Arabidopsis thaliana: one gene and its partner. The protein of the gene in region 2 interacts with the protein of the main gene of each other region in a pairwise test. Each region holds a gene or a part of one and is shown on either strand. Other genes may lie near its edges.

The links.
Region 1: the proteins of AT4G26990 (region 2) and AT1G24050 interact in a two-hybrid assay, tested with the Arabidopsis thaliana proteins (one large-scale study listed by BioGRID).

What each region holds. Positions count from the first base shown.
Region 1 is NC_003070.9:8,505,092-8,509,444, forward strand, and holds AT1G24050 (RNA-processing, Lsm domain-containing protein), read left to right. Parts: upstream 1-1,876; 5' UTR 1,877-1,965; coding exon 1,966-2,119; intron 2,120-2,225; coding exon 2,226-2,391; intron 2,392-2,486; coding exon 2,487-2,567; intron 2,568-3,051; coding exon 3,052-3,175; intron 3,176-3,306; coding exon 3,307-3,348; 3' UTR 3,349-3,818; downstream 3,819-4,353. Other genes in the region: AT1G24030 (Protein kinase superfamily protein), read left to right, coding at 1-104; AT1G24040 (Acyl-CoA N-acyltransferases (NAT) superfamily protein), read right to left, coding at 703-1,662.
Region 2 is NC_003075.7:13,550,375-13,555,985, reverse strand, and holds AT4G26990 (polyadenylate-binding protein interacting protein), read left to right. Parts: upstream 1-1,549; 5' UTR 1,550-1,732; coding exon 1,733-1,907; intron 1,908-2,157; coding exon 2,158-2,279; intron 2,280-2,369; coding exon 2,370-2,512; intron 2,513-2,774; coding exon 2,775-2,838; intron 2,839-2,919; coding exon 2,920-2,947; intron 2,948-3,085; coding exon 3,086-3,303; intron 3,304-3,495; coding exon 3,496-3,756; intron 3,757-4,024; coding exon 4,025-4,123; intron 4,124-4,245; coding exon 4,246-4,296; intron 4,297-4,485; coding exon 4,486-4,573; intron 4,574-4,660; coding exon 4,661-4,836; 3' UTR 4,837-5,094; downstream 5,095-5,611. Other genes in the region: ATRBP45C (RNA-binding (RRM/RBD/RNP motifs) family protein), read left to right, coding at 139-194, 306-436, 521-617, 707-886, 1,001-1,003; AT4G26980 (RNI-like superfamily protein), read left to right, coding at 5,342-5,447, 5,588-5,611.

The DNA.
Region 1 (4,353 bases), on a different chromosome or scaffold from region 2:
AGCGACCTTCAGTGATGGATTGTGTTAAGGAACTGCAACTAATTATCTACACAAACTCGAAGGGTGGTTTGGGTGGGACGATTCCTACATTCAGAAGGCTCTAGACACTGAATTCTTCGAAACAAGTAAAATGGATTACTGTCATTTTTCCTAAAATGAGAGGTCACTGATAAAAAAACACTTGATAAATATAAACAAACAATACTAATTATGAATTACCGGATAATTTCAATTCAACTTCCAGCTAGGAAACTTTGATCAAGCGATATTATTTGGATATATATACTATAATTTCACTAAGAAAATCAAGCACTAGATGTATCCGTATAGTATGTTGTATTTGCTGCTATGAATGTTTTGCTTTAAGAGAAATGAGTACATAAATTCAGGGGTGTAGTCTTGTTTTTTCTTTCCTTCTTTCGCCTAATGCCTAAAGAATTAACCACATGTCTATGAACAAGAAATACAATCGCTGCCAATACAGGAAGCAGATAACAAAGATAAGAGTGTGTGTGGAGTACCTCTACTAAGATCATATAAACAATAGGTCGAAGCAAACGGGATTATCAACCCGACCCTTGGTCATGTCACATTTAGCTCCTACATAATAAAGCCAATCACAATGTTTGTTATAAATTCAGAAAAGGTTGAGAAGAAGACTAAAAGCTAATTGGTACACTGATGGAAAAACTGTACCCATGTTTACACATTTGCAGAGGAGGTCAGCTCATTATCAGACCCCACCATTTCTACTATAGGATTGGTGCATAGTGGAAGAAGTTTCTTCCGCATCAAATGCTTACGCCGCTGTAACATCAGAAGGACCAAAACTGTATCTGTCTTAACAACCTCGTATCCTGCCTTCTTGTACATATTGAAAGGAGCCTCATCAACCATCCTACAATGCAAGTATACATCTTTTGATGGACTAATCTGAGATATCAGTTCCTCACTCGCCTTCAACAAATGCCACCCAATTCCTCTCCTTCTAAGATCCTCTTTGACAGTCATGTTACAGATATAAGGTGATTCCTTAGGAGGAGTTGGAGAAGGAGGAGAAGCATTAGCGCCTCGTTTCTCCAAACAAACCTCAACAGTTCCAGCCATCACAGCCTCCTCCTCTCCATCATCACTAAACTCATCAACTTTTTTCCTAAAGAAACCAACTAAAGTAACTGCGTGTGGCAACACTTCTCTTCTCTCAATCAAATACTGCTTAATCAAAAACCGTAACACAGACTGATAACCAGAAGGTAATAACATCGATTCACCAAATGACTCAGCCAATAGATGCACCGTTGAATCCATCTCTTCATGTCTCATAACTCGAACCCACATCGATCCAGATTCAAGCTCTTGAAAATACGCAAATCCTTCAAGAGTTTTAAGCTTCTCTAACTCATCGTTACTCAAAAACCTCCCGGTACGAAACGATTCCTCTAGAAACGCGTAATTCCCGGTCGATTTAGAGTTTTCTTCTCCAGTTTCTGTAGCTGTCGAAACTGAAGAAGGAGGGAAAGCGAATCTGAGATTGGAGCGGTGAGATTTACACGAGTAGAGTAATGGATATCTATGTGAAGAAGACGAGAAGCCAAACTTCGTTGATTGGGTTGGTTTGAGAGAATCAACAGAGAAAGCTAGTGAGATGCTTAAAGCCGCCATTGACACACACACACACGATTTTCTCCGATTTGATTGTGGTTCAGTGTTCGCTAATCTGTTTATAACGAAATAAAATGGATAAAGTAACAGTCATACACTAATCTTTAAAACGCCGCGTTTTGAACTAATCATGAAGCTCAGTAGTTATTGGGCCCTTATGGCCCATATACTGATATAAAAATGAGGAAACTGTTATAAGCCAGTAGCTATTTGGGCTTAAGGCCCATATTGCGATATATATAGTTTTAATTTTTCCGAAGTTCGGCGATTTCAGAAGACGGAGGAGGAGCGAGGACGGCCGCCATGGATCCAGCAGGAGCATCGGTGGCCAGCGCAATCGGAGGAGAAGGAGAGAAATTCGCGGTGGGGAATATTTATTCAGTGAAGGTGATCACCGGAGATGAGTTCAGAGGGATCGTCATGGCTTACGACCCCATCCCCAACTTCGTCTTTTTTGATATCCTTAATTTCTTTAATTGTTTGTTTCATCAAAATTTGAGATTTAGGTATTTTCAATGTCTTGACCTGAATTGTGTTATCCTTGACGAGTTATTGGTTATTACAAGAGGGTACAAAACCTAGACCTGGGCATTTGAAGAACACTCGGATGGTGAATGCGAGTTTTATTACAGGGCTTTCGTATTTAGGCAAAACTGAAGATCCACTTGATTCAGACAACTTTTCTGTTGATCTTAATGGTCTCCGAGCTAAAGAGGCACTTGCTATCAGGTGATAAGATATTTTGTTGTTGAATCCTTTCAAAATGCAATTTTTATTGCTATTTGCTTGTTTTGAGCTTACTTGGGAAAACGTATTGAGCACAGGCAAGCGGAAGCAGATGCTGAAAGAATGGGAGTTGGTGTTACCGCTGAGGCTCAGAGCATCTTCGACGCGTTGTCTAAGACGTAAGGATCTTCTCTTTTTATACGTTTTCGGATCGAAAAATAAGCTAATCTCTAAGAAGGAAACACAGCTTAGAGTATACGGTAGAGAGGTGGGACGAGATCGTAATCTAATGTTGTTTAGTTGAACTATTAGTTCTTTGTAAACAATTGCTTGGGTTGGAGGATTTTGTTTTGTGCGTCTAATGTGTTATTCCCAAAGATAAATTGTTAGGATCTGGACATGATTTAGTGTTGTTTTGCTCTTGGTTTCCGGTGATGCTAGTTTGCAACTATATATATGTAAAGTTTCTATGTTTGTGGTTGTTGTAGATTACATATGTTGTGGGCTCTAGTGTCAAGTATCTTTAGTCTTCTTTGTGATACTGATACAGTTAAGAAGCTGTCTAGATACATAGTTTTAGACTACATAAATCCTTAAACTTTCTTTGTTTGAATTTGCTTTTTCTCTTTCGAATGAATCACATGTGAATTATTTTCCTTTTAGGCTTCCTGTGCAATGGGAAAACTCAGACATTCTGGTGATGAAAGAGGTACGCGTTCGTAGCCCGTATCTTTCAGATTGTGTCTTTGGAGGAACTGATGCTGCCAACAACCGAGTCAAGAAAGTGGTAAGCGTCACTTTCAGTTCATTGTGTAATGCCAATTAAGCCTCTGGTGTTATATTAGTCATTTGCATTCAATCGTGTAACGTTGATCAAGCCTTGGGTGTGATAGTAATGCAATTTTGCTTTTATCGCAGCTTGAGCTGGAAAGACGAAGGTTGCAACTCTTTGGCACATGAGGCTAGTGAAAAGAGTCGGTCAGTGAAATAGCGAGAAAGGGTTCGTTGCTACTAACCCGAAAGGCGTCTATAGATCTGATCGACCAGCGAAAAGCGGATATGTTTGCTTTTCGCATGTTGTTGTCTTTACTTAGAATCTGCTTGTCCTTGTAAAAGCAGATTAGAGATTTCTTGAGTTACAGCCTTACAGGGATTGAAATTTGGACTAATTTCACCCTGGTTATTGACAAGAACAGTGAGGTCTTGTCTTGTCCACTTTTTACCAGGGCTTGGTTTATTTATCGCCTGGAACTGTAAACTATTCTGAAATGTTGAACTACTTTTTAGTGACTTCTCCGGTAGATTTTTACATCTCGTGTGCTCTAGAACTGAGTTCCTTGATCAATGCAAAAGTTATAAGAAATATTTTTCTGTTGATTGTTAGTATTGAACTGTGTATAGATTCCAATGATGATCATAATAGACCGTGGTGATGTATAAAACCATCTTATTCGATACACAACATATACAACTATGGACACAACTACTTTGCGTTTGGGTGATCAAGCGTGAGCTAACTTGTTGATTAGAAACCAACATTGATGCTACATGCGAATGAAATTTTACGTTACGACTAAGCTAACTCTGGATAAGCGCTTGCATGAGGAGATGGAGATATAACAATGATCACTCAGGTTGCTTGATATCATTTGAATCAAAGCTTTAAGAATGTTGTAAATTGAATCCAAAAACTAGTAAGACAATGTGTTAATTCAACATTGGAACTTATAAGTATCATAGATCGACGCGAGAGTTCTGCTTCTAACAGATACTTATCACCAAAACCTTAACCTATCTTTAGTGCAAAACACCACTAAACTATGAGCCACAAAAATTATTAAGAAGGCAACAAAAACCCTACTAAGAAGCCAAAGGAAACAATCCACACACTTGCTTCTAATCTTCTACTTGTTGAGTATTTCGCTGAGATTGAGTTGCTTTCTTTAGCAATCCACTACTAACACA
Region 2 (5,611 bases):
ATTTGGATAAGTTCTGCTACTGCTATTGTCGTGTGTGTGCGTTTGTGTTAGTGTCTGTGTCCTTGCACTGTCAGCTTAATTAAATAAATAGATGTTTGAGGTTTTTTTCCTTACCTTCTCTTGACTGTTTTATTGCAGCTTCATATCAGAACACTCAAGGAAATTCAGGAGAAAGTGATCCAACTAACACAACAGTGCGTAACTTGTTTTGGTTTCCCTAAGCCTTTTTTTTCTTTGACGTTGCCTAAGCCTTTTTCTCTGTGGGATATATTGTTGAAATTGAAGCGTTATGTTCTCTATTCCAGATTTTTGTTGGAGCTGTGGATCAAAGTGTAACAGAAGATGATTTGAAGTCAGTTTTTGGTCAATTTGGTGAACTAGTTCATGTGAAAATACCCGCAGGAAAACGTTGCGGATTTGTTCAATACGCCAATAGGTAAATGTGAACTTGGAGACGAACTTCATCTTTACTTATTTTGAGAATGTTTTTTCACATATTTAATCTGTCTGTATGCTTCAGGGCATGTGCTGAGCAAGCACTTTCTGTGTTGAACGGAACACAACTTGGGGGACAAAGCATTCGTCTTTCATGGGGTCGCAGTCCTTCCAACAAACAGGTTTGTATCTGTTAGACAATGCACCAAGCTTACTACGCTTTCATATACGTTATGTGATCTGATGACTTGTTGATCCACGAATTTCACAGACTCAACCTGATCAAGCCCAGTATGGTGGTGGTGGAGGATACTATGGGTATCCTCCTCAAGGATATGAAGCATACGGATATGCACCTCCTCCTCAGGACCCTAACGCCTACTACGGTGGTTATGCTGGGGGCGGCTATGGAAACTACCAGCAGCCTGGTGGATACCAGCAGCAACAGCAGGTAACATTCTTTGGTTTTTATCTGAATATCTTCGAATGAAAAGTATCTATGTTTTCTGTTTTTTTGCGAGATAACTGATTCTTCTTCACTCTGTTTGTTTATCCGAATTTGCAGTGAAGCATGATGTGTAAGTCGTGATCGAGCTGAAGTTGTAGAAAGCTGTAACCGTTTGACAATGGTGAATGAATTATTGAAGTGGATGTGTATTAGCTCTTCTTGTCTCAGATTCTCTCTTCAACTCTTTTTTTTTTCTTTTGGATTATTTTTCTTTCGCGTGGCTATTGTTGAGTGTCCTTGCAAGTCATAACAAAAAGCTTAAACCCAAGTGTTTTTTGTCATGACTAATATGACCATTATGTTTTCTTGCTGTACCATTTCTTCTTGTATCACCTATGACTTCCAATTATTCAGTAGTACCCTCATAATTTTTCAATAATACTCGTTTTGTGATCCTATTATAGTTGATTCGTTTTCAATATATAGTAGAATTGTGATGAGTTATTTATTCACCTTTGGTTAAAAGAAAACAGTAAACTTAAATAAGATTTTATCTAATGGGGTAGCATGAAATCAACATGGGCCGTGTTATACCAAATAAGGGCCCATTAAGCCTGTGGAGAAAAAGAAGAAAAAAAGAGCGAAAAAGAGAGAGAGTCGCTGTTACCGGTTCCCTCGTAATTTCTAGATCTGTTTTTTCATTTTCTTCACCTTTTAATTTTTTTCCTAGTACGATGATATATATGTATATAATTTAGCTCCGAATAGACCGTGATTTCCATAGAAACTTCTACAGATTTGAAATCTTTCTTCAAGGGATTTGAAAGGTCGTCAGAAAGAAAAAAAAGGATGGGAAACGCAAGGAAAGTGGAAGACGACGACAACAACAACAACAACAAGTCTTCATCATCGGTGTTAATAGCAGCAACTATGTGTATAATCGGATTGCAAGTTCATGTTCACGTCAAGGATGGTTCCGTCTTTTCTGGGATTTTCTTCACCGCTTCCGTCGACAATGGCTTTGGTAAATGTTTCGATTGTTTTCATATGTTTTTGAGTGATTTGGTTTTCGAGCTTTCTTATCGGAATTTGTTACCTATTAGAGATCTGAATGGGATCTTTTACTATTGAATCCTCCTAGGTTCTGTTAATTTCAACTCAAACAGACAGTTTATAACAGTCTATGATTTGGACAATTATGGAGTTAGGCTTGTCCAGATCAAGGACATGTACAGTTTTGGTATAGTTTCTTAATATGTCTCTGTGTGATACAGGCATTGTTTTGAAGGATGCAAGAATTACTAAGAAGGGGACAAGTATATCGAATGTAGCAAGCGGGAGTGTGGTCGATACACTTGTTATTCTGTCTTCCACTATTGTTCAAATAATTGCGGAAGTGCGTTCTTTTTTCCTTCAGTTACTTACCTTTTTTAGAGCTTCATTAGTAACAATCTGTGTGACATGCTTGTGGATCTCTGTTTCATAGGGAGTCTCGCTTCCATCAAATGTTACAACAGCCAATAATGAGGTCGGATCAGCCACAGAAACATTACCTTCTGAGCCTCGTTTATGTGCTGCAAATAAATCCACAAATGTTTCCACTCAAGGAAGGGGCTTTAATCATAAGAGGTAAATTGCTTTAAGAAATCGCCAGATGATAATTGTGAAAATCTCTTAACTTCCGAAAACAGGATTACTTAGAATTTTTCTGAAAAATGAAGTAAATATGTTAACAGAACCCTGATTTCCATCTCAATATTTGCATTCTGTGACAAATTTTCTTTTTCCATGTCAATCTTAGCAATCTAGTATAGTTTAGCATACCAATGTCTAAACTTTGCCTAGATAAATTTCTTCCTTCTCTCTGATTCTTGTATGCTTTTGTTGACAGGCAGGCTGGAGCTCAGATTTTGAAGCGTAGTGTACAAATTCCAGAGGTTTATCAACAGGATAATGTTAGTCTTGTAGAAAGATAGTTCATTTGTTTGATTCGGTTATTACTTAGCAGCTGCTTACTTGTTAGTTTCCTATTGCAGATTGATATCCAAAGCTCAAGTTCTAGCTGTGAGTTCATTTTCCACGGATATTTTTTTATCTTTGTTATAGCTATCGTATTCTTGTTTCTGCTTCTTTTTGATAGTGAAATGTTATCTAACATACTTATCCCTCAACTTTCATTCATGTGAAATTACAAACATCCAGTGGATAGCATGTCCGAACGAGTTAAACCTATAGAAGAAGATAACTTGATGCCGGAACCTCTTAGTAATGGTTTTCACAATGCTGCTGCAAAACCCTCTTCAACTGACAATTTATTGTCAGAAAGTACACCTGTTGATGACACCTTGGAATTGTGTCGGGGTAGAGTGGCGGCATCTTCAACTGCATCAGTACCTATCCAGGCCGTCAAAAAGCCTAAGGTAAACTCCTAAGTACAGTTTAGATTGATTTTCTGGTCCTAAAGATTTGTTAATCTATTCATTCTCTCACATTTCAAACGAGTGTGTTCATTATAGTCGTTGTTATATTGTCAAATCAGCCTGAGTGTTCATTTTACTTTATCTATTACTCAATTACCACGTTTTCAATTCTAAAACTTCTACCACATACAGGAGTTCAAGCTGAATCCAGAGGCTAAGATTTTTTCTCCGTCTTATACAAAACGGCTTTCACCGTCTCCTGTCGGTATGCCTCATGTTGGAAATATTGCTTACATACCAAGCAACACTCCCATGCTACCAGTTCCTGAAGCTATTTACCCAGAAGTTGTAAACAACCCTTATGTGCCGCAAGCACCTCCACCTTCTAAGTTTGTACCATATGGTAATGTGACCGCTGGACATGCTGTCGGTGGATTTCAATTTCCTCAACACGTAAGTATTATCTTACTCTCTTCGAGCATGTTATGTCAAAGGGCTTTTATCAACTAGTAATTGAGAATAGACTGTTCCTCTCACCACTAAGCGCCTGAATGGTTAACAACCATAAATGTTAGTATTGAACACCAGATTAAAAGATCATTCTGAATTGATATGGCTTTGTCTGTACTGTTAAAATGCTTCCATATACTTTCTGCCACCAACTTTTGTTTGTTTTGCCATGGATGAATCATTCTTCCACTTGCAACCCATTTTCCTGCAGATGATTGGGCCAACTGTTAACAGAGCACAGCCTCAGAGATACACCGCTCAGTACCATTCTGTTCAAGCTGCACCAATGCTTGTAAATCCAAGTCCTCAGGTTATATTTCATGGAGGTCCCCAAAACTCACTTTTGTTGAAAGCGCGGTTTTAAGAAAAATTTATCTGTATTGAGATGTATTGGTGTTATTGTTTCTAAAGACTCTTTTTACTGTCCTCCAGGTGATGGTTGCAAGATCGGGGCAGCTTGTCTATGTCCAATCAGTTTCTCAGGTTAGAACTTGATGTATATAGCTTCTTGATGAACCTTTAATGATGTTAGTTTAATCGAATGTATGTCCTGTATTGCTGAGTGAAATAAGAAATATTATTACGCAGTCATTGGTTTAAGTTTGGTCGAAAATCTCCTCTTATTCATATCGTTATAGTCATTTTTAGTAATAGTCTTTCTTATTTTTCCAGGATCTGGTTCAAGGAACACCGCCTCTCTCACCTATGCTCTCCTGCCCTCTACCTACCGCACAACATGTCCAATACCTGAAGCATCAAGGTAAATACCTGAGTCTACCTTGATTTGCCTTTTTGGACCAAACCAAAAGATTGTGCCTTAACTAGAATGAACCATTATGTGATGCAGGTGTAGTAGCAGCTGGCCAGCCGCTACCGCTATGTGTCTCCCTACCATTCACGACTGGTGGACCGCAACCTTATGGCATTCCCACCCAATTCCCAGCTATGCAGCAGCCTCCTTTCCCCACGAATCAGCCAATGACAGTTGCAGTTCCTAATGGTTTCTACACAAAGTTTCCATAAACAAAGTCTCATTGTTTTTGGTTTCATACCTTTATTCTTTGCCTCTCCAACCTAATAAGGGTTAAAAAGGTCCTAGTTTTGGTTCCTAGTTTTTTCCTATTCTTCGGTTTTGTGTAAGTATGTTGCGAGTGTTAAGCTCTGTTTTGGCTTATTATATTGGGGTTTTTTTGCATTGGTTTATCGGAGTTGAATTTGGGTGAAAAATGTTGTAGAATATGAAAACATTATATGATTGATTCTTTGGAAAAAGTATCGTTGATCACATATTGGTGATCTCAATAAATTGCAGTTCATAAATGTTGGAAGTTAAATTACGTCTGAAACAGAGCGAGACTAATCACGTAACATATTACACAAGAGAGATTAGAGAGATACAAATGAGAGATCATAAACGTTAAGTCGGTTATGTTTCGGTTTGAGCTAATTAGAAGTTCATATAATCCGCCGTCCGCTAATATTCCTCGATTAGAATCTCCGGCGATCAGAAATCTCGCGGTGAATTTTGATGGAAGAAAAGCTGCCAAAATCGCTCAAGAATCTCGATTTGAATACGAATCGTGGTCGTGGACCAGAGAATAAGATTCTTGTTTCAGCTTATGTATCTTCGTCACGTAAGCCTCGCTTTCGACAATCTTTCTTTTCTCGAGCTCGGTTAAAATTGGGTTCTGAGAATGGATTACTGAATTTGGGTCTAAGCATGGCTGGTGGTAATTAGGAGTTGGAATTTGACAATGGTTTGCTTCAATCGCAGGAATGTCTCCACTGAAATCAAAAC